3 linked regions of the Callithrix jacchus genome follow. The protein of the gene in region 1 purifies or fractionates together with the protein of each later gene. This does not show direct contact. Links are inferred from orthologs where the notes say so. Each region holds a gene or a part of one and is shown on either strand. Other genes may lie near its edges. The genes, in order: TGFBR1, SMAD7 and SMURF1.

The links.
Region 2: the proteins of TGFBR1 (region 1) and SMAD7 purify together in Homo sapiens (affinity purification with western blotting; 19 studies listed by BioGRID). This does not show direct contact. The link is inferred for Callithrix jacchus from reciprocal best matches to the Homo sapiens genes TGFBR1 and SMAD7.
Region 3: the proteins of TGFBR1 (region 1) and SMURF1 purify together in Homo sapiens (affinity purification with western blotting; 3 studies listed by BioGRID). This does not show direct contact. The link is inferred for Callithrix jacchus from reciprocal best matches to the Homo sapiens genes TGFBR1 and SMURF1.

What each region holds. Positions count from the first base shown.
Region 1 is NC_133502.1:147,218,462-147,228,584, forward strand, and holds the start of TGFBR1 (TGF-beta receptor type-1), read left to right. Parts: upstream 1-5,386; 5' UTR 5,387-5,474; coding exon 5,475-5,571; intron 5,572-10,123. UniProt on the Homo sapiens protein: Transmembrane serine/threonine kinase forming with the TGF-beta type II serine/threonine kinase receptor, TGFBR2, the non-promiscuous receptor for the TGF-beta cytokines TGFB1, TGFB2 and TGFB3.
Region 2 is NC_133514.1:92,050,610-92,060,732, reverse strand, and holds the start of SMAD7 (mothers against decapentaplegic homolog 7), read left to right. Parts: upstream 1-4,134; 5' UTR 4,135-4,471; coding exon 4,472-5,084; intron 5,085-5,479; exon of another isoform or gene 5,480-5,939; coding exon of another isoform or gene 5,940-6,018; intron 6,019-6,415; coding exon 6,416-6,469; intron 6,470-10,123. Other genes in the region: uncharacterized protein LOC118146891, read left to right, coding at 2,324-2,534, 2,654-3,435. UniProt on the Homo sapiens protein: Antagonist of signaling by TGF-beta (transforming growth factor) type 1 receptor superfamily members; has been shown to inhibit TGF-beta (Transforming growth factor) and activin signaling by associating with their receptors thus preventing SMAD2 access.
Region 3 is NC_133503.1:14,559,269-14,569,291, reverse strand, and holds part of SMURF1 (E3 ubiquitin-protein ligase SMURF1), read right to left. Parts: intron 9,322-10,023; exon of another isoform or gene 7,939-9,321; coding exon 7,824-7,938; exon of another isoform or gene 7,774-7,823; intron 6,322-7,773; coding exon 6,143-6,321; intron 5,635-6,142; exon of another isoform or gene 4,725-5,634; coding exon 4,587-4,724; intron 3,423-4,586; coding exon 3,302-3,422; intron 1,952-3,301; coding exon 1,750-1,951; intron 1-1,749. UniProt on the Homo sapiens protein: E3 ubiquitin-protein ligase that acts as a negative regulator of BMP signaling pathway. Mediates ubiquitination and degradation of SMAD1 and SMAD5, 2 receptor-regulated SMADs specific for the BMP pathway.

The sequences.
Region 1 (10,123 bases):
AAATACAGTAATCAAGTCAGTGAGGTTGGCATTAAAATAGACAGACCAATGGGGAAAAAAAGAGAGTCCATAAATAGATCCACAAATACACAAATGATTTTTGACAAAGTCACCAATGTAGTCCAATGGGGAAATTTTCTTAATAAATCTTAACAAATTATGCTGGATCAACCGGATGTCAGTATAGAACAAACTAAACTTCGATTCATACCTCACATCATATGTAAGAGTTAATTCAAGATGGCTTAAAGCCTTAGATGAAGAAGCTAAAATTATAAAACAACTAGAAGAACATATAGGAGGAAATCTTTGTGATTGGCGGGGGGGCAGTGAAAATATTCTGCATCATACTGTCACTGTATGTTCGTCAAAGCCCACAGACAACAAGAGTGAATCCAAAAGTGAACTATTGACTTTGGGTGGTAATGATGTGACAGTGTAGGTTCATTGATTGTAACAAATGTACCACTCTGGTAGGAGATGTGGACAGTGGGAGAGGCTGTGGGTGTGGGTGAGGTCAGGGAATAGATGAGAACTCTATGTAATTTCACTTCAATTTTGCTGTGAAGCTAAAACTGCTCTAAAAAAATGAAGTCTATAAAAAAAAAACCAGAAAAGACAGATTACTTACAAAGGAAAAACCATTACACTCCTATCTAATTTCACATAAACAATGGAAGGACAGTGAAATGATACGTTCAATTTTTGAGAGAAAACAATTATCAACCTAGAATGCTATTTTCAGCAAAAACATTGTTCATAAAAACATTTTCAGTCAAACAACAACTAAGATTATTTGCTACTGGTAGACTCTTGCTAAAAGAAATTTTAAAAGCTACACTTCAGGAAGAATAACAGTACCAGTAATTTGAGGTAGAAAGTATGAGAGGTAAAAAGAAATGGAGATAAGAGAAAGTGGTTAAAAAGTGTTTGTAAAAATGTACACGCTTATTTTTCTCTTGATATCCTTGCCTCTTTGTAATGTGATTTTGCATTTCCTTTATATATTAAAAAAATTGAGTCTTTTCCCCTACCCTTTGAATCTGGGCTCAGCCGCAGTTCATGGCCAAACCAATGGGATGTGGTAGAAGTGATGCGCCAGTGGTTTTTTTTTTTTTTTTTGGTGACAGGGTTTCACTCTGTCACCCAGGCTGGAGTGCAGTGGTGCGATCATGGCTCACTGCAGCTTTGACTTCCTGGTCTCAAGCGATCCTCCAAACTCTCAGCTTCCCAAGTAGCTGGGACTGCAGGCATGAGCCACCACACCCGGGTAATTTTTGCATTTTTTTGTAGATGAGAAGTTTTGCCATGTTACCCAGGCTGGCCTCAAACTCTTGGGCTCAAGCCATCACCCACCTTGGCCTCCCAAAGTGCTGAGATTACAAGCATGGGCCACCATGCCTGGTCCATTACAGTTCTAAACCTACGACTCCGGGGTCCTGCACACTTTCATTCATTATCTTGGACCTCTGAACTGTCATGTTAACAAGCTTAGGCTAGCCTGCTGGAGGGTGGAAAACAACATGGAGGAGCTGATCTAGCTCATTACCCTCTTCCACCCCCTTCCACCTGATGGCTGACTCACAGGTGAGCTCAGCTGAAATCAGCATAAATTGGCATAAACCTGAAAAACTCTCCAGCCTACCTACAGTCTCATGAAAAATGATCCATGGTTATCATTCTATGCCACTAAATTTTGAGGTGATTTGTTATTCAGTTAGGAGCACCAAGAATTGGCAATAGCTAATAATGGTATAAGTCAATAATATCTTGTAGGTTAGAAAATAAGACAGAAATAAAATATGCAACAACAAATAGGATGGGCAAATGAGTAGAATTGAAATGTTCTAAGGTGAATAAAAAAGAGATTTATTGGCCAGGCACAGTGGCTCATGCCTGTAAGGCGGGAGGATCACTTGAGGTCATCAGGAGTTCGAGACCAGCCTGACCAACATGGAGAAATCCCATCTCTACTAAAAGTACAAAACTAGCTGAGGGTGGTGGTGCATGCCTGTAATCCCAGCTACTTGGGAGACTGAGGCAGGAGAATTGCTTGACCCCAGGAAGTGGAGGTTGCATTGAGCTGAGATCACACCATTGCACTCCAGGCTGGGCAACAAGAGTGAAACTCTGCCTCAAAAAAAAAAAAAAAAAAAGAGGTTTATTTTTCTCATATAATAAGAAATAAGCATTATAGAGCTGGTGCAGCTGTTCAGGAAATTTATCAAAAACTTAGACTCTCTCCAGGTTTTCTCTCTACAGTCCTCAGTTTTGGCTATCACCCTTATGTTTACAAAGTGGCTGCTGTACCGCCAAGCATTGCAACCATGTTCCAGGCAGAGAGAATATGATGAATCTCTTTCCTTTTTTAACTGGGAAATATGTACAGGCTCCACCTTGTGGAAAGTAGACTTCTATTTCCATTTCACTGGGAATACTAGGTACAAGGAGCCTGGCAAATTCATACATATTTTTTTCTAGGTGAACTGCTTTCCCAGAGAAAATCAGGACTCTATTATAAAGCAAATGTAGGAATGGGTATAGTTTAGATGACTAGCAGTCTCTGCTGTCTATTTTGGCAAAAACATCTTACATAAGAGAATAATCCAAAAGGAAATGCAAACAATGTCCTTGGCATAAAGATTAAGAGACAACATTACATAGGGTACAAGGCACTGGAGTGAGACTCCTAGTACTAGCTCTGCAGCTGACTTGCTGGGGAACTGATCTAAGTTTCTCCATCTTTAAATCAAGATAATCAAGACATTGTAGTAGATAACAGGGAAGCCTTTTAAACAACAAGTAAGTCTGTAAAGACTGAAAGGAATTAACACTTATGATAGATTCCTTATGTGCAATAGCTCATTTAGACCTCACAACAATATCTCCCTTTACCCTGGAGATGCTAAATCTCAAGAGTGATCAAATAGTGTTCACAGACCCACAGCTACTGAGTGGCAGAGCCAGAATTTCAAGTAGGGTCTGCAGGCCTCCAAAGCCAGCGGCTTCTTTCCACTGCCCATCCAACCTTTCTCAAAAGGCAAATAAGGTCATGCATTTTTATTTACTGAATTTTAAGTATACCAGTCTTTTGAAGCTGGCCTAGTGCCACCTGCAACAGAATTAACTATGATGTCTATTACAAATGCAGATTCCTGAACCTTCTCCAGAAGAACTGAAGCAGAATTGCTAAGACCCAGTGAGACCCAAGAATCTGCATTATTAAAAGCTCTCCAGGTAATTTGGAGACACTTTACAATTTGGGAACCATGATTTTAAACTATTAATTTAGTGTTCCATTCTAGTGTAGTTTATTTATGGATCTGTTGTTCATGGAAATTTCCTCCTAGTATCAGGATGTTAAAATTTAAAAACCGGTCTGTTTTTCCTTTCTGTTGAATCTACTCAATTCCATGGAAAATGTTAAGGAACTGGAGGTGTGATTAACACTGATTAATCTAGGCTCTGTACGTCAAGGGCACAGACTAACATGAACACACATGCTGATTAGAATCATACGGAGCTGGAAGGGGATGGGCAAAGAAATGGCATTAACTAAATATTTACTATGTTCCAGACACTGTACCAGACACATTACATCATCTAAGGAGCCCAAGACAAGTGATTCAATCCCTTTCATTTATAAACGGGGTAGGTACTATTATTATTTACATTTTAGAGATGAGGAAGCTAAAGGCCAAAGAAAAACAGTCACTTTGAGATCATTCATTCATTCACACAATCAAAATCTCATTAGCTCTTATCTTATGCAAGACATTGCAAATAGAGCAGCAAAAAGGCAATCTAGAGACCTCTTGGCACAAAGCCCACCAAGTCTCCATTGAAGAAACTGGAACCGAGAGGGCAAATTGGGACTGGAGCCTGCCAGAAACCGTCTTTCTGGAATCCTTCAGTCTGAACAAGAGGGGAGTTCGCTGCTGAGGCTGCTGGCGCTGCAGTCTAGAGCAAGTTGCAGGCCTCTGAGCCTGCTGGAGACTCTGAAAGGTTAGCTGACTTTGCCGAAGTAGTGTCCCAGCCAGGAGGGAGAAAGCACGCAGGTCTCAGATCCCAGCTCCAATATCCACGTCCTTTCCCTTTTCATCTCCAGGAAGGAAACCTTCACAGGTGGGGAAAATGCTCACCCAGTGACTCTGAAGTAGTGCACAAGTTGACATTAGAGGCTGGTTCTGATTCCTGCTATCAAGGTTTATTTAATTCCAAGCTCAAATGACACAGGAAATAAAACTTTCTCCTTAAAAGGTTCTGAGGGAAAATATTCTCTGTTCTACGTAACAGCCTCCTTGGCTGTGTTTGTGTCTGAAGAAAGGACTAGTCTGACAGGAAGAATTACAAATCTGGAGCTCATTTTGGCGTCGCGGAGGAAAGGTGGGTGGAGCGTCTCGCAGTAAATTAGGAATTCGGAATGAAAACGTAGTTTATTTGGGTTTTTAGTGACACCTCAGGATTATTATACAGGAGTGTCAGACACAGCTCAAAGTAATGACTGCTCCCCCTCCACCCCGCGGGAGCTGGGTTCTAAGAAGGGGGAACCCCTCCTTTGAGGGGTTGGGGTGGGGACCCTCCCTTTCCAACCTGGATCAGGAAGGGGGATGAGGCGAGAGCGGCTTGGATCCCCATCCTGTGCCTGTTCCGGAGTGAGGCGGGAGGCTATTTGGGGGTGTGTTTGGGGTCAGGATCTGGGTCTGAGGCTGGGATCTGAGGACTTCCTAGGTTTGGAATTGGGTGGGGGAGCTAGGTTCGGGATGACCGCTCCAAGCATGAGGAAACAGGAGACTGAGTCGCATGTGAAGGGCGCGGAGGAAAGATCTTCGGGGGAATGCTGAAGTTGATGCGTGGACTTGGAGAGGGGAAGTTGAAGTGCATGCAGGGCCTGGCGCTGCAGCGGATCTGAGTGGCCTATGCAGGGATTGCCGGTGCGGAGCAGTGAATGGGGTCAGCGTGGGGCTGAAGCAGTACGAGATCTTCCGCGCCTAGAGGAGGTTAGAAGAAAAGAGAGTCGAGCGGCCACAGCCTTTTCCCGAAAGCGACTCACACAGACACACCCTTCGCTCTACCCGGCCCTCCGGGGCTAGCGGCTCGGCGGCGCTGGGTCTGGCCGATCCCGCCCCCACACCGCCTCGCGGAGCCGGGAGCAGCTCTGGCCGGGGCAGGGGTCTGGCGGCCCGTCCCCCGGGGAGCGTGGGGCGTGGCCAGAGGCCGGGGCGCGCGGCTCCGGATTGGCTGCCCGGTGGGCCCGCGGGCGGGGCTCGTGGCTGGGTCCCGCTCGGCCGCTCGCGGCGGCGGGGAGGCGGGGCCGGCGGGAGCCCGGCAGCCAATGGACGCACGTCCCCCGAGCAGTTACAAAGGGCCGAAGCGGGGCCGCCGCGGCGGCGGGGGAGGTGGGGCGAGGCGAGGTTTGCTGGGGTGAGGCGGCGGCCGGGCCGGGCCGGGCCACAGGCGGTGGCGGCGGGACCATGGAGGCGGCGGCCGCTGCTCCGCGTCCCCGACTGCTCCTCCTTGTGCTGGCGGCGGCAGCGGCGGCGGCGGCGCTGCTGCTCCCGGGGGCGACGGGTGAGCGGCAGCGCGGCGCGGCGGGCGGGCGGGCGACTGCGGGGCGCGCGGGCCGGGCCCGGCCTCCGGCTCGCTACTGCTCTTTCTCAAACATGGCGCGGGGCCGGGGGCGCAGGTGGCAGCGCCGGGGCCCGGACCGGGCTCTCGTGGCCCCAACCGGGCTCTCGTGGCCCCGAGCGGCTCGGTGGCAGCCGGGCGAACCGCAAGCGGGGAGCGGAGGCGGGGCAGGGGCGTGTGTCCGGGCACGGGTGAACGTGCCGGGCAGCCTGAGGCCGTCCGGCTCGGGACTCCCCCGGGGAGGTGGAGTCGGACGGAGTCGTCCGAGGGCCGGGGCTGCCCTGTGGGGTGTGCGTGGGTTAGGGCCAGGGGCGGAGGATGCGAGACGGGCGGGGACTGGCAGAGCGGTGGCTGCCGACCGCCGCCGCCCCCCAGGGAACGGCGTGGTCTTGGGGTCCCGGGCGGGTTTTGGGGTTGGGGGGAAGGCGGCTCCCGGGCGGGGTGTGAGCTCCGAGCCGCGAGGGCTTCCCGGGGTGGGAGTCGGGGGTCGACATGTGGTGAGACCCCCGGGTCTGCAAGCTGCCCTGACTCCCGCCCGGCCCGACCCTGCTGGAAGGGTCTGCTCCTTCAGCCAAGGGGGCTTTGTGTGAGAAGAAGGAAGCGTGGAGATGCGCGGAGTATTCCTTCTTTCGTGCGCCTGAGGAGTGTTGAAGTGAGTCCAGTAACCAGAAGGCTACGGATTGTTTTCGTAGTGGAAACTTGAACGTTTGCTCACTCTACAGGGTTTGGAAATTTGGGGAATGACTGTGAATTGATTCAACGCTTTTATTTCCTAGAAGGAACATCACTTGCGATGTTCCTTTTCTTGAGTGACAGTTAATAGTTTGAATGATACATCTGGTAGCTGGTTTTCAAGGAAGAATGTTCGCTGAGTTTTTCCAAGTATTAAATCAGGTCGGGGTAGGTGGTTGGCATCCACAAAGTGATGAGTGGAAAACTTTGTTAGCAGCTGAATTAAGACAGTAGAAACTAAAATCAGAGCCTCAGTCTTAGCAACTAAAATGCAGTGAAATTACATTTCTGTTTCTGAAACTGTACAAAAATGTTGAAAATTCTTTTAAAAATCAAGACTGAAGATGATGATTATAATTAGTCCTAATAGCCTCCGTCTATGTATTATGCATTACTATGATGTAAATGCATAAAGTACACTATTGGATACGTACATTATTTAATCACCACAACCAAACTCTCAGGACTTGTGGCATTTGCCCCACTTTAAAGATTTGAAAAGTGGGGTGCAGACCCCTGGGTCTGCTTAAGTATGCAGTCACTAAGTGCTAAAGCTAGAATTTTCACTCAGATCTCAGTTTCCAAAACCTGTACACACATATATATATAAATATGTATATACACACGCAAACATGTATACATCATACTACCTGGCATAGCCCATTTTTCTTCATCTGATGAGCAACTGGTCTTTATTATTCACTTTTAGATTCTGTCCTCATGATATGAATGTCAGATAGGCTTCATTCTGACTCTTAGCACATTCCTGAGTCCCTTCACGTGGGCCTGCATTAGAGGAAACAATGGATTTTTGACATTGGCCTAGGGAGGAAGGCAAGATAACTGTGTGGACAGATTGGGAGAATCAATATAGTTAGGGGGAAACATAGGTAACATTTCCACACCACTATTAACTTGAATAACATAGTGCCCTCTTTTCCACCAGAAGTAGCACAGGAAGTGTTCATGTATTCAAGTAACAGTAGGTGGACTTAGTTGGATACACAGAACATTGCTCAGTCCATGTCCTGGGGGAGTTTACAGTCTCTGTGGCATGTACACAGTACAAAGCTGTCCAGGTGCATATTACTCTAAGCCCAGACTGCCTCAGCTTCTCTGCCTTTCTTATTGGTTATGATGATGTCTCAGTCCACCCTTAAAATAACATTCTGAAAAAGGTCAAATGCTTTTTTTTCTCTCTGTAATTTTACTTCCCTTTTAAAAAGAGTGCAGTTTCTTATTTTCTGAGTATGTTTTATTGTTCTCTGCCCAACTTCTCTCCCCAACATAGATTTCTCTAGGAAAATTGATTCCTTGTCGCTAGTACACGGTTTAGTACCACTGTGTCTATATGAATATCCCTTGTGAGAATGCTGTTTGCTTCCTTTCTGCCATTTCATAACATTTTTTCTTTGGAAACATGCTCTAAATCCAACTCTTGTTTCTATTAATGCCTCTTGAATGTCTCCTCCTTTCTTGGTATGCAGCCTTCAGCTTAATCCTGCCTGTTATCCTCCAAATCTAGTTGCTTTCCCATGTTTCTCTCTTCTAAGCTTTTCTATGGGCTACTGCCAAACTAATCTTCCTCAGCCATCCCCATAAAGGTTTATATGATTTCCCATTTGTATTCAGCACTTAGAGAAACACTTCAGCAGCTTATGATTGGGGCCATCTCTGAGTATCCTACCAGGAATCTCACTTCTCATTACTGCAGACCTTCAAGCAATTTCTATTTCTCACTGACTCCTGACTGTTCAGCTTTTCACTACACATTTAATTTTGCCCCTTTTTTGGGAGTGTAAGAAGTTCTCAGTCCTGACTTCCTGTACTGGTTTAGTTCTTGAATTCTTTGTCTTCCAGAACTCTGCAACACTTACAGTTTGTGTTGTCCATTTCTACTGTCTGCACTGCAATTTAACTACACTTGAATATGTTGTAGATACCTAGAGGACGAGATTCATGCCATTTCTTTGCTTTATGGCCTCAGAACTTAGCACTGTGTTTTATATTCTATTCCACATAGATGCTTGTTGATTTCTATTTGAGCATTCCTTTAGTATTTATACTGTTTTATCTAAGTCCAGTTTATGCAATATTAACTTATAATTCTGTATAAATAATCAGGAAATATTGTGTGGTGTGGTGAAGGCAAGTGGTTATTAGTCCCACCTTCACCACCAGTTATGCAGAAAATAGGGGCAATACCTGCTTTTGCCTAATTCATGAGATTGTGAAGATCACATGAGAAAGTGGTATTTGAGTTTGAGGTTGCTATTCTGTATTGTTACTAATGATCAGGACTGATATTCAACAAGCAGTTCCCACTGGGCCATGTGTTTTTTGGTTAAACATCCTTTCTGGTTGGTTGGTACCCTTGTAGTGCCAGTTGTTAAATATTTTTAATGTCATCCCTGTAGGGAGGCATTAGTATTCAAAAAGGGAGATGATTAGTGTAGGCTGGAGTGATTGGGGGAGGCTTTCTGGACAGTTTAGGACTTAAGCTGACTTTGAAGGGTGGGTACAATTCAGAGGGGGATTTGATGAGTATGAAAGTTCTCTAAAAGTGTGTCTCCAACTGTACTGGGGCCCCCACTCCAAGGGAGGAAACAAAGCTTTTACTGACTGGCAAGTTACTCTTCAAAGTTAGGTTCCTTATTCTTTACTGTGGGATTTGGATGTATTAACCTCTATCATTTTTCCCCCCAATCCTAAAGGCTATAGTACATGGCTGGAAACAAAGCATAAAAGTAATCAAAGTGGAGTAAATGAGAGAGAATAACATTATAGGATGCCCACTAGGGCTAGGCATTCAGCTGGTGAAAGTCCTAAGTATATTGTCACTTCAATTTACAGATGAAAAAACTCAGATTAGGTGAATTTCTTAGGGTGACAAAGGGCAGAACAGAGACAGGAACTTTGATTTTCTGATTCCAAATCTTGTGCCCTATATTCTGCTTTAAAATGTGAAGGACATGGAGGTGGGCGTGGGACGAGGTTAATGGAGTGACTTACCTAAGTGAAATAGGCCTTGCACTTCACACAATTTATGAAAAGTGAATTCTAAAGGTAGAAGGGAAGGGGAGTGATTAAAGGCTAAAAGTCCTCAAGGGAAAGGTCAGGATTCTTTTTTTTTAATTGCTGATAAAAGGACCTGGTATAATACTGACTGAGAAACATAGGCCTATAGTAGTTTGGAAGGTAGTCTTGGATAAGTACTGTTAATTGAATTGGGTGTAATTAAAAGGCCTTGGTTTAGAATAATAGATGATCTGCTTTGTTATTGGAATTCAGTGAGGAATTGACATGATAAAAATGATCAAGAGGAAGATAAATCTTGTTCTTTATCTTTCAACAGGGGTCTTCCCCACAAGGAAAGGTTCTAGGCCTTAGTTGAAGAGTTACAAGGACTCAGCACCATTCTTATAGTATCATTTTATTGTATCAAATATGTTCATGTGTAATGAATTGAGTTTTGAAAATGCTGTTATCCTGTGGATGGCCCTTTTGATATGAAAATATGTCTCTTCAAACCACAGAGCCCCTTGCGAATGTTGACAAACCTCTTGCCTTTTGCTCTTCTTCCTTGGTCATGGCTTACATAATAGAGTTCTGAAGAGATGGACTGTGGTTTGATATCATGTGATTGGGTCACATCTTTGCTTCCTGCTTCTGGAACTGAGGGCAGATGCTGGCATGTTTCTCAGGGATTTTTGTAATGCTTTGTCCCGTAGAACTAAGCTGAGGAAATTTTTGGAGTCTTCTC
Region 2 (10,123 bases), on another chromosome or scaffold:
TCCCTCTACTGCCAGGCTTTCAGCTTCTTTCTTGGAATGGAGAGGGATAAGAATGTGACGGGTGGGGCTATCAGGAAGGTTGGGATGTTCACTGATTCACGGGATGCCAGAGAGCTATAAAGCAGCACCAATCATTTAGCTACTTGCTCAGCACCCCACCCACCTTCGACCTAGGGTAGCAAAATGGAAGAGGAAAGCCATGTAGAGAGGGGTGACACCTGAATTAATACACCTACAATTACACTATATGGGAACATAGCTCTGCAAGTACATGCATGTTCCACCCAGACAAACTGTGATGTCAGACTCCACTCCTGAAACACCCAGGAAACCTACCTGCCCTGTGTGTGCTCTGGTTTCTCATTACAGAGCCTTAGCACTGCTGGCCAGATCTCCAAAAGATTCTTCAGATTCTCCATTTAGCCAAGAAGCTTAATTAGAATTATGACCTCTGCTTTCTCTGCTTATTTAAGTCCTTCCTGTTTCGATGAAGCCTGGTCTGACCACTCTCAAAAAGTGAAGATCTTTTAGGGAGACCCAGAACAGAGAAGGAATGAGACCCTAAAGGGCAGGAAACTTACCCAGAAAACCTCATAAATGCTGCCAAGTGCTGGCCTAACGTGGGATCACTGTTGGCCCAAGTTGCTTAACCAGTGAGTGGCAACGCCCCAGCCTGGTATCAGGTTTTCTACCTCTAGTCTGGTACTCTTTCTAAGCCTTTCCAAGGTGAAAATATGATGCATTTCCCAGACACTTTAAAAATCCCATTTCTGTCTCTTCCATCTTCCCTTATCTATATAGCCATAGGATCACCCCCTTCTCCATTCTCTCCTGCGATTTCTTGGCTGTTGTCTTTACAGGGTGCTTCTTAGAATGTTTTATATACACACATAAGGTTTCCATGCCCTTTTCAACAAGCCATATTTTAATTTACAACAAAATTATGATGTTATACAATTGCGACTTATGTGGCCTTACACAGTAAATGTTCAGAACGGCAGCTTCTGTGCTGTCCAGCAGATTTCGGCACTGCTTGGCATGCTATCTTCCAAGTCAGTGTCAGGATCTCCTTGCCTGGGGATGATCATGTAAGCAATGTTGCTGATTTATTTGGTGGGGTGGAAGAAGGGTCCAAATGACCCTTAAGCCCTTAATGTTGATTTCTAAATATTTATTAAGTACTAATTGTTACTATGTTAAAAATCTTTTTAATTGCTGGAGGGGGGCGGGGTGTGGTGGTTCACGCAGGTAATCCCATCACTTTGGGAGGTCGAAGCAGGTGCATCACCTGAGGTCAGGAGTTGGAGACCAGCCTGACCAACATGGAGAAACCCCTTTGCTACCAAAAAATACAAAAATTAGCCGGGTGTGGTGGCGCGTACCTGTAGTCCCAGCCTCTGCGGAGGCTGAGGTGGGAGAATCGTTTGATCCCGGGAGGCGGAGGCTGCAGTGAGCCGAGACAGAGCCACTGCACTCTAGCCTGGGTAACAGAGTGAGACTCTTTAAAAAAAAAAAAAAAATTCTTGAAAACCCCCATGAGTTTCATTGCTGGCCTGATCTCACAATTCTCAATGGCTTTTTAAAAAAATCGTATTTTACAGAATATGAGGTGAGGTTAGATCACCATGCGAACTAGTGGTCTCATCAATACTGATGTGTATTTAAATCATTACGTTTCTCAGAACTATCAGCTTTCACGCTGCAAACGCGTTCATGCCCTAGCAATGCCATGCCCGTTTCTATGCAGTAACCCGCCAGCTTGGGTATATGTTTCTTAGAGACCTGGGGTCAAGGAATAAACTCTCTGACCCTAAGCATCTTGAAAGCTACGAGGCCCAGAAACAGGCCCTCCAAGCAAATAAATGCCCTAGGCAGGTCTGCTCGCTGGGTAACCTTCCCGCGCCGGGAGGCAGGGTGGCGGGTGGCGGAGGTCTTCCGGGCCCAGGGAGAAACCTGCCGCTGGCGCGCAGGAGAGCCCCCCTCCCGCTCCCCTTCTCCCGCCCCGCTTCTCCCGCCAGGATGCTGCCCCTCGCAGCTCGTCAGCCGGCCAAATGCATTCCAGAGCTGTGCACAAGACACACTTCTCCAGGCAGTCCTAGAAACCGGAGCCGGGAGAGGAGAGGGCGGGAGGGAGCGCGCGGCCGCCTCTGAGGTCATAATCGCGCTGCCTCCCCGCCCTCGGCGGCTGTTCCCTCCAGCGCACACTTCCCAGGGCCTCGGTCCAGTCCGGTATAAATGTCTTTTAAACCGAGACAGCGCTCTCCTCCCCTTGCCCTCCGACGCAGCCAAGGGATCCGCCGCCAGGGCCTTTAAAACAAAACCAATGAATGAAGCGCTTGGGCGAGCGCGCGCGAGATGGCCACCGCGAAGCCCCGCCAGGTCGAAATCCGGCCACCGACCCGCTCGCTCAGCTCCAAAACTCGCGGCGAAGCCCGCTCGGTGCTCCCTGCGTTTCCAATTTCTCCATGGCTCCGGCCGGAGCTCAGTAGATTCTGGGAGCTTCTCGGCCCCCCACCTCTCTCTCCTCTCCATCGGTACCCCGTCTACAGACCCGGGAGGGGGTGGCGGTGGCGGGGGGTTGGGGACGAAATAGCTTTTAGAAACCCGATCTGTTGTTTGCGAAACACAATCGTTTTTTTTTTTTTTTTTAAAGCGACAGGGTGTCTAGACGGCCACGTGACGAGGCCGGAGCCGGGCGCGCCACTGCGCAGTGGAACCAGCCGAGCAGAGGGCCGGAGGGGGGGGCGGGGGGGCGGGGGGGAGGAGGAGGCGGCGGCGGCGGCGGCTGGGGGCGGGGGAGGGAAGAGGGAGGAAGGGGGAGGGAAGGGGGCGGGGGCGGGAGGCCTTGCGGGAGGCGGCGAGCCCCGGGCACACTCGCTTGCTGCTCGGCGCACGGAAGAGCCTGTCCCCAAGCCGCGCCAGCCGAGCCAGCCGGGCGCCGTGCTCGGTCCGCTCGCCGCGCGGGAGAGAGCTGCCCGAGACAGAGCCAGCCCGTCGGCGCCGAGCCGCCGAGCGCCGGGCCCCAGAGCCCCTGAGTGCGGCGCGGCGAGCCCTTGGCGGCGGCAGAAGGACCCGAGCGCCAGGAGAGGGCGGACGGGGGACAAGGAGGCTCCCGGGCGCGACGAGGAGAGTCTCGGAGGAGGAGGCGCCGAGAGAACACCGGGGCCTCCTGCCGCCGCAGCTGGGTCGAGGCGAGCAGCCCACGCGGGGAGCCCCGGCGACCAACCGCGGCCAGGGGAAGGGACACCGGCGGCCCCCGCATTAGCAAGCAGCTTGTGCCCAGGGGGGCAAGAACGCGCTACCCGCCTGGGGCCCGCCGCCGCCGCCGCGCCGCCCTCCCCTGTGCTGTCAGCCCCACCGGGCTCAGCCGCCGCCGCAGCATCTTCTGTCCCTGCGCCCCCGCCAGCCTCGAGGAAGTCCCCGCTGAGGACCTGAGCCCCCAGGCGCGCAGGAGGGAAGACCAGAGACTCCCCTAAACCACCCAGATGCGCAGGATTGAATCGGTCTAGTCAAAGCTTTCTGTGGATTAAAAAAATACACGATTTTTTTTTTGTTTTTGGCAGAAGAAAAGGAGAGGAAGACCAGCGGGGCTCTGCAAGGAAAAAAGGGGGGTTGTAACTCGTGGATGCGTTTTCCCACCCCCCAAACATCTTGTTATACTTCGTAAACATTTTTTTTTTAAGCCCCAGCTCCAGCCGGACGCCCCCAGACCTCCAAGGTTCGAGGAGGTGGTGTTTTTCATTTGGGGCTTTGCATATTTTGGTTGTTAGGTTTTGAGAGAACCTTCTTATTTCGCCAGACGTCTCATGCGGGGTGAAGTCCACTCGGCCCCCTCCCCTCAGCCTTCGTGTGCACGAAATTCGAGGAGATCCGGTTACTAAGGATATAGAGGAAAAAAATAAATCGCGTGCTTGCTTTTTTTTTTTTTTAATTGCCTGCTTCTCCCCACCCCCAAATTAAGTTGCTTAGCAAGGGGGAAAGAGGCTTTTTCCTTCTTCCAGCAGCCCAGCCGAACGCCTTTCGTTTTTTGCCCCCGCGGATCTTCCATGTAGGAAGCCGAGGCTGGCGAGTCCGACATTCGGGAGCCACTGCGGGGGGGGCTGTTTTTGGGGAGGCGCCGACGGGGGCAGGCTCGGCCGTCCCCAGGGAAGCGGCGGCCGGGTTCCTCCGGGGCGCGCCGGGGCCCGAGAGCCGCGCAGGGCGCGGGCCGCGCGGGGTGGGGCAGCCGGAGCGCAGGCCCCCGATCCCCGGCGGGCGCCCCCGGGCCCCCGCGCGCGCCCCGGCCTCCGGGAGACTGGCGCATGCCACGGAGCGCCCCTCGGGCCGCCGCCGCTACTGCCCGGGCCCCTGCTGCTGCTGCTGTCGCCTGCGCCTGCTGCCCCAACTCGGCGCCCGACTTCTTCATGGTGTGCGGAGGTCATGTTCGCTCCTTAGCCGGCAAACGACTTTTCTCCTCGCCTCCTCGCCCCGCATGTTCAGGACCAAACGATCTGCGCTCGTCCGGCGTCTCTGGAGGAGCCGTGCGCCCGGCGGCGAGGACGAGGAGGAGGGCGCGGGGGGAGGCGGAGGAGGAGGCGAGCTGCGGGGAGAAGGGGCGACGGACAGTCGAGCTCATGGGGCTGGTGGCGGTGGCGCGGGCAGGGCTGGATGCTGCCTGGGCAAGGCGGTCCGAGGTGCCAAAGGTCACCACCATCCCCACCCCCCAGCCGCGGGCGCCGGCGCGGCCGGGGGCGCAGAGGCTGATCTGAAGGCGCTCACGCACTCGGTGCTCAAGAAACTGAAGGAGCGGCAGCTGGAGTTGCTGCTCCAGGCCGTGGAGTCCCGCGGCGGGACGCGCACCGCGTGCCTCCTGCTGCCTGGCCGACTGGACTGCAGGCTGGGCCCGGGGGCGCCCGCCAGCGCGCAGCCTGCGCAGCCGCCCTCGTCCTACTCGCTCCCCCTCCTGCTGTGCAAAGTGTTCAGGTGGCCGGATCTCAGGCATTCCTCGGAAGTCAAGAGGCTGTGTTGCTGTGAATCTTACGGGAAGATCAACCCCGAGCTGGTGTGCTGCAACCCCCATCACCTTAGCCGACTCTGCGAACTAGGTAAGAAGTTGCCCGGCCACCCCCAATATTTTCCAGCGCGCCAGTGCTGGAAGAAAAGCCCCTAGGGCAGTGCGTGTGCCGCCACCCCTTCAGGGGGAGTGTACAGCCCCTCCTGGGAGGAGACTTGGTGGGGAAAGTAGAGAAGGGACACGAGGAAACTCAAAGGGCATTCCCTGGGGGTTCCCTGTCAGGTTTTCTCCTGTGTTGCCCCGAAAGGGTCTGTGGGCACTGCTCCTGCACACAGTGTACCAGACGTGCGGTTAAAAATTAGACGCCTTCATTTCCGGATCAACAAGGGGGTGCAGAGGGAGGTGGGGGTCACGCCTCCCCGCACCCGGAAAGGCGTTAAGGTGTGTGGCCGAGTTGGATTTGGTCCAAGCCCGCCAAGGAAGGTTGGGAGAAGCGAGCTGTAAAGGCTGGAAGGACTCCGCTCCTTTAGTAAATACGGAGAATCACTCGAACACAAGTGGCTCAGATACTACTGTGGCCGTGCAGCCTTGGACTTTTGGGGCAAAGAGGGTTAGGATGGAAGGCCGAACTGGGTATCTCCTTTCAACTCTGCCAGTTCCAGGGTGCTGAGGAACAAACAGCCAGGAGAAGTTGGGTGTCCCCTACTTTTTCCTTTCTTCCGCACAGAGAAGTCTATAGATAGTCGGCCCCCGGCGCCTCGGTGACGTTGTCTCCGCTTATTGCGCTGGGGCCTGGACTTCTCGGCTGAGATCCTGAAACTCCTTCGCTTTTATCCTCTCTGCTTTGTCCGTTCCTTCCTTTGCTCTGTATTTCTGTACACGGAGTGTGTTGTGAGGGTTCACCCCGGGTGTCCGCAGATCCCCCAAGTTCACCAGCACGCTTGGGATGCATCTCCCTAGTGCGCTGGGAATGGGGAGCCCCCGTGTCCCCCGCGCGGGTGCCCAGAGGACCAGCGGGGGCAGAGGTGAATTGCACCCCTGGGGGCCGGGCTGGGGCGGGGAGCCGGTGTTGTTGGGAACTGGGGCTGGAGTCTGCGGACGAGGAGGGGGCACGGTCGCCCCCCGCCCTGTGAACTGTGAAGTGCGCGGCCCCGGCTGAGCCGGTGGTTTCCAGCCGGGCCAGCCGAGCGCGGCGGCGGCGGCCGCAGACGTGGAGGAGCGGAGAGCCGAGGCTGGCGCCAGGCGGCCTCTTTTGTTTATCTGACAGCTAAATATCAAGGCAATCACCGCCTTGCGGCCCTGCCTCCAACCCCCACAGCTAAGACAAACAGTTGGGCTAAAAGAATGCCTCTGTTATCATAAGTTTCTATCTCTTTTTCTCATGGCTGGGCCTTTATTTTTCTCTTGCTTTTTTAATTTCAGAGTCTCCCCCTCCTCCTTACTCCAGATACCCGATGGATTTTCTCAAACCAACTGGTGAGTAGCTGATTTTTAAAAAACCCTTCGGATCGAAGTTAGAAATAGAGCCTGTAGAACCTGGGCTTCTACGTGTAGGCAAAGGCCTGGGAAGGAAGGCGCTAGGCTTGCTTCAGGTCGGTTCTAGGTTTCCTCTGTTGGAAGTTTGGTGAATTTTCCTGTTGTGACTGGCTTTTTGTTTTGTTTTTTCTTTGCAAAGACCTTTTCTTGATATGCTTTACGTTTTGTTCCTTTTTCATGTATTTGCACTCTGTGGCTGGGGGACTCGGCTTTAACACGTGGATGCTTTTAGTTCAGAAAGAAGTATTTTGGGAACCAAATAGGACTGGTTGGTGGGGAAAGCTTGGAGACTTCGTGAGTGCCGGAGCATCTGGAAAGGGTGATTAGATGGATGGGAAGACATTTTTAAAAGGTGCAAAGAATACTTTGGTCTGGAGTAGACACTAGAACATTTCAGTAGAGGCTACAGCCAGTTAAAGAAGAGTGGGTTCCCCCTGCCCCAGTCACTTGCAAGTCACCCTCTCCCGGGGATTTCTCAGTATGCTCCGTAGGGACCATCAAAATTTTGAGCATAGCTCTGCCTGTCTGTTGCTTTGTCACTGGCTGGCATGGAGCCAGGGCAGCCCATTTGAGACTGGCACCAGCCCTGTTGTGGTTGTCTGCATTCAACTTCTGGCAGCAGCAGCACAGGTGTTCCTCCTCCGGACCTCACGGTGCTGGGGACAGGGTCAGCAAAATGAACTTGGGGGCGACAACAAGGATGAGCCCCAATTCCTGGCACTCCTTCTTACAGTAGGAGATAGATCTATTTGCTAAAAGTACAGGCTGTATGTAACCTTGGTTTTTGTGCCCTGTATACTGGTGCCTGTAAAAACATTAATACTTGGGACATTTTTATTTTGCCAAGGTTCTGGGAGAAGGAAAAGTGAAGGGTTGGGCACCATTTAGCTCCTGGAATTCTGCAGTTCCTTCCGCCTCATGTGTTTTGGCTGTTGGGCTTTTCCCCCCACTAATTAAAAGTTTTGCTGGGGCGTTGTCATAAATTAAATACTTTAATGAACGTGTAACCGAAGCCCATACTCTGCAGCCAACCCTCCTGGGACTCCACCAGCTCCCTCAAGTTGGGAAGGCGTTCCTGCTTGCCTGGTGCCCGTTCTAATAAGTGGCCCACAAAGCATGTGATATTTTGCTTTCGATTTACAAAACACCAGATAAATGGTTATTAATGAGGAGATACCCAGCTCTCTGTATTTGTAACAGAGGTTCACTGGAATTACCAAGCTCTGTTTTCCTAAAGACTGTAACTTGATTGGGTTTTGGCTGAAAGAGTTAAGAATTCTTTTTATTAAGTTAGTTTTCCAAGGGGCCACCTCTGACCTGTTTTTGTTTTTCCTTCCATATTTTTCAAATTTGGAGGTTTTCCTTAAAAGAGAGAGAACAGTGACCTTAGCCCCAGGGGTAAAGACCAGTGGGGGTAAATGTTCCCAGAAACCTCCAAAACGCATAGAAAAGAAAGGCCATGTTCCCTTTGGTTTCCTGCAAAGACACTGGGATAAATCTGTTCTCAGGATGTAAGCAGTCCTTCTGCCAGGCCCGGACCTCATTTTCGGGCGAGTGGAGTGATCTATTTATTCATTAGCAAGTGTTGACATTAGGTAGCAAAATGTGTGTAAACAGAGAAGCCACAGAGACAGGAATGTGCCATTTCCAAGGGGGAGAAAAGTTCTCCAGATCAGCCAATAGGAAGTGATTAACCTGTCGATCGGACACTAAGACAGCTGGTTACTCACCCAAAATGTTTTGTTGAAAATAGAACAAAAAAAGAAATGAGAAAAGGCGCCGTTGTGTAAGAATTTAGCATCAATAATAGACAAAGCCCCCTGGAGGGGAATTGTCCGGCCTCATTGGAGGACCGCCAGGTCTGGGGGTGGAACACACCCCCCTCCCACAGGTCTGAGGCTGGTTTTGCCAGCTGCTGTGGCCAGGGGCATTGAGGTCAGACCACAGATGGGCGCTGACCCAGGTTTTCATCCCTATCTGGCGTGTGGGATAATGTTTGGCCCAGGAATCTAGATGGACCATTTACATTCTTCAGTTTCTAAGTTCTAGGTTGAATTTTTGGTCTTGGGTTACTAGGTGAAACAGGCACAAAGTTTTACAGTGGACAGCTGTTAAAATCTTAACCAGTTGCACAATTAAAGGAATACGTCCTGTGAAGTCTCCATCTTGGAAAAAGGTGATGGGAATGGGGCTGGGTCCTGGTACCCCTGCACCCTTTGGAGATGCAGAGGCCTCAAAGCTGGAAGCTCCATTTTGCTGTAGTTGAAGGAAGCCACTCCACCCAGCCTCGGGGAGGTCTGGACTTGAGACACCTAAGTGCTGTGGTTTAACCAGCAGAGCCATCTTTGAAAGAGTGTTCATGTAACTGAACCTAGGGCAAGTCGGTTGTGACTTGTGGCTGTCAGAAGTCAAAAAGACACCCCCACCTTAGTATCCCACAAGAAATCAGAATTTGCTGTTTAAAACCAGATCTCGGGAATAGCTGTGTGGGTTCTGCGTCCAGTGTTCCATTGTATCTGATGGTCTGAAAGGTTTGAAGAATGGCTGGCCTTGGAGGTTGCTGGGTGAGCTCTTCGGGGACCCAGGTGGCCAGTGTCCATTGGCAGATCCAGCCTCCAAATCTAGGTTGTAAGTCTGGCATCTTGACCTGAGATCTGGCACTGCATTTGCCTCTTAACTCAGATTCCTCTTAACTTTTCTAGGCCTCTTTTAATCAGCAATGAAAGAGAGTAGAACATTCATTCATTCATTGGTTCATTTATTCATGTTACAGACACGATGATGTGCCCACCTAGAAATCTGAGGATTCTGATACAGTGCGGTGTTCTTCTGTAACCAGGGTTCATTTGAGTTCTGGGTAGAGTGAACTACCTGGGGCAAAGCTGGGAACCTTGGAATATACTAGTGGTGTAGTTGGTGGGGAGGGGTTCCTCTGTCTTTACCAGTACTTTAGAAGCTCAGAACACAGTTGCTGAGACTATGGTGGGACTCCCAGCTCCCTTACTTTGTGCTTATGGGTCGGATTTTCAAAGACTGTTGGAGCCGCTCAGTGAAAGGAATGAGTCTTTTTCTCTCTCGGAACCTAGCACTTACCAAGGGCTTGGTAATATTTAGTGTTGCATGAGTCAGGAGTGGCCTAGAGCTTCTGTCTGCCAGCCATTCTGGGCTCTAGTGAAGAGATGACACAGGCCTAAGGTGAGACCCTCAATTTAGAGATGTGTCTAATGCAGAGCTTTTTTGTGGGTGAGAGATGGAGGTATGGCTCCTTGATTCTTGAGGCCAGTCTGGATGGCCAAGCCACCTCCAGGAAAGAGGGCAGGGACTCCATGGCCCTGCCTGGGAAGTGAGAGCTATGGGAATAGGGGTTGGACTCTTTGGGGATAGCCTGGCTCACTGGGTGGCCCTTTGAGCGAGTCAGTGACGCCTCAGTTTCCCTGGGTGCCTGTGGAACAGGTATACTTGGCTTCTTCACAGGGGTGGCAGGGAGGCCTAATTAACGTTTGTAAATCCCTCCTGAGATCAAAGCCACTGCAGAAGGGCAGAGCACCATTTCATAAAAACGCTTGTGATTGCCTGCATGGAGCTGGCTTACCT
Region 3 (10,023 bases), on another chromosome or scaffold:
CTATTTATACCCACTCTTTGGAATAGATGACTTGGCTCACCAATTCTGTAGAGCAGGGAGAGGCACCAGGCCCCTCCTTGCTCAGGTCTCCCCAAACTCAGCCCCAGATGAGTACCAGGCAGGCCAGCACAAAGACCGCTAGCTGACAGGGCTGCCGGCACTGAGAAGGGGCACAGAGGCCACTGGCCTGGGCTTTGCTGCCCTTGCTCCTGTATATTCACAGATTTTCATTTCAGACTGGGCTAGGGTCAGTGTTAGGACAGGAATCCAGGAGAGTTGAGGACAAGTGGAGATCCCATCTTTATGTTGGGCAGAGGGTCTTGGAATGCACCCCCCTGGTTCCTGGGGAACCTGGGGCAGGAAGCTAGCTCCTCTCCCTCACAGTCCACACCCTCCCACCCTGATCTCCTGGGGAGTCAGGACAGGCTGGACCAGACATGCCCCAGTGAGGGCCTCAGAGACCTCCTGCAGGGCCCTGGCCACTCTGCCTGGCCCTGCTACCAGTCATTCCCTTCTCTCAGCACCAGCACTCTGGTACTGGACTGTGACCCTGTCAGGTGAGCCCTGGTCACCTCTGACCCACCTTCTAGACACTTCAGGGACACTGGCCTAAAGTCCACCTGATTAGGGGACTGATGAGACCCTTATAATGACAGAGATTCTCTCTAAGCAGGAAAGTTTAGCACGTGGGCCTGCTACGGGCAAGACGATGGTGGCATGGTCACCAAGCCTGGATTCCTGCCCTGGCACACCGCTCACACCTTCCATGTTTCTTTTTCCCCATTGGAGGGAAAATAAATCCCGTGACCTCAGTGAGTCACAGCTTCCTCTTCCATGGAATGGGGCTAATCCCCGCTCAACCAGGCTCTCCGGGTTGTTGTTGGGAGAACTGAAGGAAAAAGGCTTTGTAAATAACAGGCTCCAAGCTCTGGGAGCAGCTGTCATGGTCAAGCTGGTCAAGCAGATGGAGGCTCCCAGATACAAGCGGGTCTCAGCCTCCAACCCCTTTTTATTCATGCTGGGCCCCTGGCAGCAAATCCATAGGCGGAGGTCATGATGGAAAAGAGGCAGGTGCCCTGATGACCTCCTTTGAGCCAGCAATTCAGACGGAATATTCTGTCTTCACAGTGTGTCTGTATGTCTATCAGCATTTACAGTCCAGCTAAATTTCAGTACGGTGACACCCTTCACCTCACTCCTTCCAGCAGCATCCCCCCCAAGCCGTTAAGTGTAAAAGATGACCTGCAGGGAGATCGGCACCTCCGCCACTGAATTCCGCCCCCCACTTCCAGCAACCTGAGTGGCTTACGCAGAGGGAGCATCACGGCACCTTTCGGTGTGTTGTGGCTAAGTAGGGGTTCATGTGCAGCGTCAAGCTTCGGAGCCACTGAGACTGGGGTGGTTCCCCCACAGCTCCTTATCCAGGGTCTTGGCTAAGCTGGGCTCACAGAGTTGGAAAGTGCAAGGCCTCCCAAACACTTCAAAGACCCCTGCTGGCCAGACCCTCTTGGCTTTTTGGAAGCAGTGAAGAGGGGGAACCCCCGTGCCCGAGAGTGGCTCTGCAGTCTTTGCTTACACACGGCCCCTGCCAGGTGGCCACCTCTGCAGCGCAGAGCATTCATTACTGGAGAACACTCCTTATGCTGTGTTCTAGCACACATCTCGGAAAAACATCCCAGCCACCTTCACTCTTCCTGCCCACAGCCCGCAGAGACGTATATCAAATAGCCCCGCCTCCCCATCAGTCACCTTGCAAAGCCTTGAAGCCTTGGAGCGGGACTCGCGTGGACCCAGTCACAAACTGCAACAGCCTGGCCCTCCTTTCTTCATCAAACGTCTCCACCGCTTGCCAGAACCACCGGACGATGTTGCTGTCAGCCACACAGTGCTTTAGCCGCGTGTTCGACTTCCAGTCGTTCAGGTCTATTTTATCCAGGCCGCCTATGATCAGCTGAGGAGGTGCCGAAAGATGAGTTACTCCCAAAATGTATAAACCCACGTCAGGACACGCCTCCGAGGTACCCAACACACACACAAGTGAAAAGTCGGTTCCCAAACAAAGCAGCGGCTGTGTCCAAAGAAAAACTAGACAGTAGTTGAGACAGGAAGAAAGCAACGAACAGGAGACCTGTGGGACATGCCTCCCTCTGCCTCCTCCAACCCCAAGACCACGGTGCACAGCTACTGATGGGGCATCATCTTATAACCAAAGCAGGGTTTCTGCTCTGCATCGGTGAGGAGTGAGTCTCAAAGAACCACCCAGTTCACTGAACAGAGCTAACCATGAGTAAGAGCATGTCCCGGGGTCTCTCCAGGACACTCAAGGACATGTGGAGTTTCAAGTCTGAAGAAAGGAGAATTCAGCAAGAGTTACGTGGGGCTAGGGTAGATGGGACGCGTTTCTGCAACTTGCTTAAAAGTACCCCCTGCTGGGTGCAGTGGCTCACGCCACTATATTCCCAGCACTTTGTAGGGGCTGAAGTTGGGTGGATCGCTTGAGCCCAGGAGTTCAAGGCCAGCTTGGGCAACATGGCAAAACCCTTTCTCTACAACAAATACAAAAATTAGCCAAGCATGGTGACATGCACCTATAGCCTCAGCTACTCAGGGGACTGCAGTGGTAGGATCGCTTCAGCCTGGGAGGTCAAGGCTACAGTGACCCATGATTGCACCACTGCACTCCAGCCTGGGCAACAGAGCAAGACTCTGTCTTTAAAAAAAAAAAAAAAAAGACACAAAAGTTCACCCCAGAACTACTGCCCCATCCAAGCTCTTGGCTCCCAGGCTCTCCTCACTGGCAGTAGAAAGACTCGGAGAACAATCTACAAGGCTTGAGCTGTTTCGCACCAGAGATGGTAAGGGATGAATGAGTCACTATGTTCAAGCGCGTGAGTAGGACTGGAGAGACAGTATCCCCTTGTTCTTAGTCTAGTAACAGCCCGAATAAAAGGCAGTAAGTTGTGGGAGAACCAGGTTCTCCCAGGAAAGGAGAGGGCCGCGTGATCTCCCTGCTAGAGATCCTGAAAACGAGAGAAGCCACAACCACCTTGAACAGCGTCCCGGGAATTATTCAGATTTCCAACCACCATGCAGACATCTCACTGGTTACCAACTGACGTAAACACCCTCTACTCCCCACTGTTGCTCCAGCTGACTGTTCTGGGAACCCCAACAGCTCCTGGGCTTTCTAGAAAACAGTGCATGCCACACCCTGCATCAAGGATTTAAAACAGGCAGACGATGCCAGCCACAGGGGGAGCCCCTGAGCGCCCTGGGTGGACTCCACACAGCAGGCACGTACCTCCAGTTCCTTCTGGTCAAAAGGCTTCAGCAAGTGTTGAGGGATGAGTTCATTGAACCCCTTCTGCAGAGCTAAGAACTGGGCTTCAATTCCTCTCATAAACCTCCAGTTTACATACAACCTGGAAGAAAAACTCACAAGTTGGATGCAACACCAAGTGGATTTTCCTCCATAGGCAGGTTTTGTTTTGGTTTGAGACAGGGTCTCACTTCGCCCAGGCTGGAGTACAGTGGTGCAATCCTGGCTCACTGCAACCTCTGCCTCCTGGGTTTAAGCAGTTCTTCTACCTCAGCCTACCTAGTAGCTGGGCTTACAGGCATCTGCCATTATGCCTGGCTAATTTTTGTATTTTTAGTAGAAATGGGGTTTCACCATGTTGGCCAGGCTGGTCTCGAGCTCCTGACCTCAGGTGATCTGCCTGCCTTGGCCTCCCAAAGTGCTGAGATTACAGGCATGAGTCACCACACCCAGCCCATGAGCAGGTTCTGATATCACAGTCTGACAAACATGGGAACATATTGGGGGCCCCCTCTAGATCTCCCCACCAAGACACAAAATCCCCACCAGCTAGTAGTGCCAAAACCTTGGCATCACGTTAAAAATGACTCAGCACGTGCCCTGATTCATTCTGGTTCGCTACTGAAAACAGCAGGATTGCACCTGACTTGTCACATCAATTGCTGTAATTTGAAAGCACGTTCTGGCCAGGCATGGTGGCTCACACCTTGGGAGGCCAAAGCAAGAGGATCGCTTTAGGCCAGGGGTCCGAGACCAGCCTGGCAGCACAGCAAGACCCTGTATCAAATGTTAAACATTTAATAATGTTTATAAGTGCATTTGAAAGGACAGCTCAGGACGACTGGGCACACAGCCACGCCCACGCACTTCTCAGCGCCAGTGCCTAGGCCTGAACATGGATTTGCCTCAACTCAGAGGTGGAAAAGACTGACAGGGTGGCTTCCTCGGACTGACCACAAGACCCTCCAAGCAGCTGCTCTCTCCTTGGCCCCCCTACTTTGCACCCAGAATTAGGTGGTCACTTGAAAGTCCTTCCCCACGTGGGCTCTGTCCCTCAGGCAGGCCTGGCCCCATCAGGACCCCTCCAAGCAGATCCCTGACGTGGCTGCTGAGCTGTCAGTTTCTGAAAGTCACTTCTGTTCCTATGATTTGATCACAAGTGCCAGCCATCAGGGACACGCAGGCCTCACACGGCGAATGAGCCACAGCAACTAAATGCAAACTCATCCGTGCCCCAGGTACTGGCTGTGCCCCCCAGATGACTTACCTGACATATTCTTTCTTGTTCTCCTCTGTGACAGGCACGTTTCTGCCATTAGGTTTCAGTTCATGCTGAAGAATCCGCCCGAAGGCATTGTGTTCCACGCAGAAGGTGTGGTCCAGCACCGGTGTGATGTCATTCTCTCTGTTGAAGACAGAAGGTGACGTCAGTTAGAGTTCAGCCACCATGTGCCAATGAAAGGAACATCAAGTAGGGCCATCGGGTAGACAGAGAGATGGCGTTTAGGACTCCCAGACCCAGGCTGCAAGAGAGGACAGCCGCAGGCGGACACGAAACCCATATGGGGGCGGCACCGCAAATGGTGCTGGAGGACCCGGAGACCACAGTTCTGGTTCCAGATGTCCCCGACTCCTGGCTTCCTCACTCACAGAAGGCGGGCAGCACTGAAGGCAGGAAATTGACCTGGAGATGAAGCCACACCAAGAAAATACGAGTCCCGCCTTAGAGCCAGCCTTTCCAAACACATCAGTTCAAATGCAAAAGCACTTAAAAGTGAAAATTAGCTCCTGAATCTGCCATAGGCAGATTGGAAGTTTTGTTGTTGTTGGTTTTTTTTTGAGACAGAGACTCACTTTGTCATCCAGGCTGGAGTGCAGTGGTGCAATCTCAACTCACTGCAACCCCTGCTTCCTGGGTTCAAGAAGTTCTCCTGCCTCAGCCTTTTAGGAGCTGGGACTACAGGCACATGTCACACCTGGCTTTGTTTGTGTGTTTTTAGTAGACACGGGGTTTCACCATGTTGGCCAGGCTGGTCTCGAACTCCTGATCTCAAGTGAAGTGCTTAATAACAGGCAATGAGCCAACATACTGAGTGGAAGATTTTCTACCCGGTCCCTGGGGTCCCCTCTTCACGTTGGAACATGGGACATACAACTAGGAGGCCCCCACTCCCACTCATCCACATTCCTTCTGTCTGCCAGAGCAGAGCCTGATCTTTCATCCCCACGAAATCCACAAGACCTGTGACACAGTTCATCTTGTCATTGCCTGCTGCCCTTAACAGAATGTCTAGAATAATTCTAAAGCAGAGGTACCTAAATGTTCAATTTGTTTTGATATGGGCTTGGCTCCTGTGAGGTTAACTGGAGACTCCCGTGAGTGTCACACACACCCCGAGCCTGGGGAGTAGTCTGTTAAAGTTCGTGATCTTACCTTCATAATTCAAGGAAATGAAAGAATCTAGTCCCTGAAGAGAAGCCGGCCCAACATCACAAGGAAAATAAGGCAACTGAGTTTTTTGTTTTTTTTCTTTGGCTAGATCTGGTGGGGTGGTTTTTTTTTTGTATTTATTGTAGTAGTAGGGTCTCAGGACGTTGCCCAGGCCCAGTCTCAAACTCCTGGGCTCAAGCAATCTGCCCACTCTGGCCTCCCAAAGAACCTTCTTTTTTGTTTCAGGTTATTTAATACAATGGCTTCTTTGTGTCTCTTCTTCAATTTCACACCCATCCCCAAAATACACAAACGCACACGCATGCATGCAGACAACAGAGGTGGTGGCATGTCCCACGCCAGGTAACCGTGCACCATCAGTCAATACTTACAGGATCCACACCAGGCTCTTATGCAGCTCCGGGTCCACGGATTCCAGATCCGAGAGCTGGATGGGCTTTCCCAGGAGCTGCTTATAGAAGGGCACTGTGAAGCCCCCATTGATGTAGTGCCCATGAAACACGGCCAGCCCCATGATCCGCCCCACAAAGTGGAAGTAAGACAAGTGGTCCTGTAGGGGGCACCAGAAAACACAAATTCATCAGCACAACGCTGGTCAATGTGGGAGTCTTCTTGGGAAGAGTGTCCCAGAGGCAACTCAGGAACTCACAGGCCGGGCTCATGAGCAAGTGAAAGAAGGCTGCTTGTGTAGCTGAATTTGCATAGAGTCACTGGACAATTTCAGGGCCAATACCTCCTCAGACTATATAACTTGCAGAGGAGCCCAGTCCAGTGCAAAATGAAAATGCAGAGCCCATGTTCAGCAACGACTGAGCATTTCACCTTGTGACAACAGAATCAAACCAAGCATGGGGCCTTGACACTGCAGGGCCGCGGCATCCTGCAGGACGCACGCCCAGGAAGCCAGCCCTGCATTCCCTCCCACTGCACAAGAAAGACAAGGGCAAGCCCCCTTCTTCCACCACCCCTCCCTTGATCCAGAATGAAAGGAATGAGGGAGGGAAGAAATTCTAAGAAGGGGGAACAAAAAGACCACAGGAAAATATGTATGAATAAGCCAAGTAAAATAAACAATTCTAGGCTGGGCGTGGTTGCCCGTGCCTGTAATCCCAGCACTTTGGGAGGCTGAGGCAGGCAGATCACCTGACATCAGGAGGTTGAAACCAGCCTGGCCAACATGGTAAAGCCCCATCTCCACTAAAAATACAAAAACTAGCTGGGTACAGTGGCACAAGCCTGTAATCCAAGCTACTCGGGAGGTTGAGGCGGGAGAATTGCTTGAACCTGGAAGGCGGAGGTTGCAGTGAACTGAGATCACATCACTGCACTCCAGCCTGATTAACAGAGCAAGACTACGTCTCAAAAAAAAAAACCATTCTAGAACCAGAGCCGTCTGGTTTTTAACTCAGGAACCATACGCCTCTGCTTTCAGGTTTGAATTATGTTCATCTCAGAAAATGAGTGAAAACTCTGCTTCCATGTTGGTAAAAGGTTCTTCCACATTTGAATGCACAGGGGAGCCTGTCCCAACTTCGCCTCAGTGGCCTGAGCAGGACGCTGGTGAAGGCCGTGCCACAGGAGGAGTCTGCCCCTGGCCGGTGGCCCACCCTCAGGCGGAGTGTGCAAACACCACGCTGACTTCCTCATCTCTAAAACAAGCACGCTAAGGGTGGCATTTGTGGCTTAAGCCAGTTCTGGAAAGATTCCAGTTGTGACTAGGAGGAGACTGGACTTCAGCATCCACTCCTTAGAATGCCACCATTAACAAATACAGTCATCACACCAGAGTTTCCTCAGTGACCATGAAGTGTCCTGAGTATATGAACAGCTCGATCTCCCTCTTCATCTCCTTCAACACAACATGCCCAGTGATCACAATCTCTGAAAATACAGGACCAAAATCCATCTTAATCCAGTTTCCACTTTACCTTTCCATGTTTTGCTTACCACCGCCTTTAAGTCTACATGAATAAACCAAGAACGGAGAATGAAACTGAAACTCCATCTCAAAAATTCTCCAACCCAGTTTCCCCTTTGTTCATTCATACTTACGGGGTTGATTGAAGAATCTGGATTTATTTGCAACATGTAAATATTGTCTGTGGAATACTGGAAGAGCCCATAATATGGATTCAGCATTTCATGGCACAACAAATAAAGCCATTCCCTAGGAAAAAACATTCATTCATTTTATATGTGCTAAAATTTCTAGATTTTTTTTTCTGAGACAGTCTCACTCTGTCACCAGGTTTGGAGTGCAGTGGCGCGATCTCGGCTCACTGTAACCTCTGCCTTCCAGGTACAGGCGTGTGCCACCAGGCCTGGCTAACTTCTGTATTTTCATAGAGACAGGGTTTTACCATGTTGGCCAGGGTGGTCTCAAACTCCTGACCTCAAATGATCCACCCACTTTGGCCTCCCAAAATGCTGGGATTACAGGTGTAAGCCATCACACCAGGCCCGAGTTATTATTTTCTGAATTTTTTAAATGTTTTCATCGTTTTATTATTTTTTTAACTCCAAAGTTCAAAACAGTTAAGCAAAAAAAAAGAAAAAGAAAGCATTTTAAATAGAGATTGTATGATTCAGTGGCTACACTCAGGTTGCGATAAGCCCAGCTAGCAGGGGAACTCTTAGACAAACACCTGTGGCAGATACGCAAACAATCTTTTATTCATTCTACTCAAAACGCCTTTTCAATGGATCACATTAAGATAGCAGCTCCAAATTTTATTTGGACTTTTCAAACAGAAATGAGAGAGCACAGGGAAGGATAAGCACAAATGCAGATAATCTGTCCAAGAAAATTGCTAGAATACACAAAAAATATTAAATGAAAACAGTTCTGTATTGCACTCAGAAGAACAGAAAGGAACTGCCAGAAGAGATGAGACTCCGATTACTACAAAGCAACACTGCTGAATTTTCATTCCAAAGTTTGGAGTTTAGATTTGAGAAGAACCTTTTTTGAAAAAGACAAAGACCTGCAATTGTCTAGAGAGGAAGTGATTACAATACAAGCAAACGCCATGGACGAGGTAGATACAATCAGCTCTGCTCTGGAAGTGGTAAGGGAAGCAATAACTAAAGGCAAGAGAGAGCGGCTACAGGAAGGACTGCGGACTAAACACTGGGGAAATGAGTGTAGCCTGGCTCTCACAGATCAGATAATGAATCCACACCTGCACATGTGTAATCCACATGCAACTGACTTCTCTCCACCCTCTCTGAGATAGGCATGATCCCATTTAGATGGGAGGAAGACTCCAGTGGTGAAATAACACTACAAGACCAAGCTGGAGGTGGCAAAGCAGGGATTCTCAACTCTTTCTACTCCAGCATCATGCCGTTCAAGGGGACGTCACAAAGACCTATCTCCACACAGAAGACTGGACAACTAAGGAAAATGCAGAAGGAAGGTAACTCCTACCAAACCAAACCAGGGAGTCTGATGGCTAAGTCACAAGCATTTCAGAACGACCAAAGCAAGGAAATGTGCAAAGAAATTAACAAAAAGTAAAATTCATTCATCTGGTACATATATACAGAGGTAAGTGTTTGCTATGTGTTAGGTGCTGTTCTAAGAACTGGGGATCAGCTGTGAACAAGACAGGGTTCCCGACTGCATGCAGTTTGAGTCTCTCGGAAGATGCAGACGAGAAACATCACACACCTGTGCAGTGCACTTTGGGAGGACAAGATGGGAGGATGGCTTGACCCCAGGAGTTTGAGACCAGCCTGGGCAACATAGTGAGACCTCATCTCTACAAAAAAACTTATAAAAGTAGCCAGGCATGGTGGTGCACACATGTAGTTCCAGCTACTTGGGAGGCTGAGGTGGGAGGCTTGCTTGAGCCTAGGAGGTCGAGGCTGCAGTGAGCTATGATTGTGCCACTGTATCCAGCCTGGGCGACAGAGCAAGACCCTGTCTCATAGAAAAAAAAAAAAAAAATGACAAAACCACCCACAATTGTCTTGAAGGTGAAAAGAGGCAGGACATGAAATAGCAGCTTTTCATCATTCTATTCTGTTTTTTATATCAATTTCTTGAATTATTTTGACCAAAATTTCAACATTTTATCTTGCAAAATTCCTTTAACACAAATGTAATTTACATGCAATTTACATGCACAGATGCAATCCCTGTGGAGAGGAAAGCAAGGCTGCCTCCTGTGCTAATTCAGGAACATGTCCCTTAAGTTTCAGATGAAGAGAGTGAGTTTAAAAGTTTAATTCCAGCTTTACAGGAAGT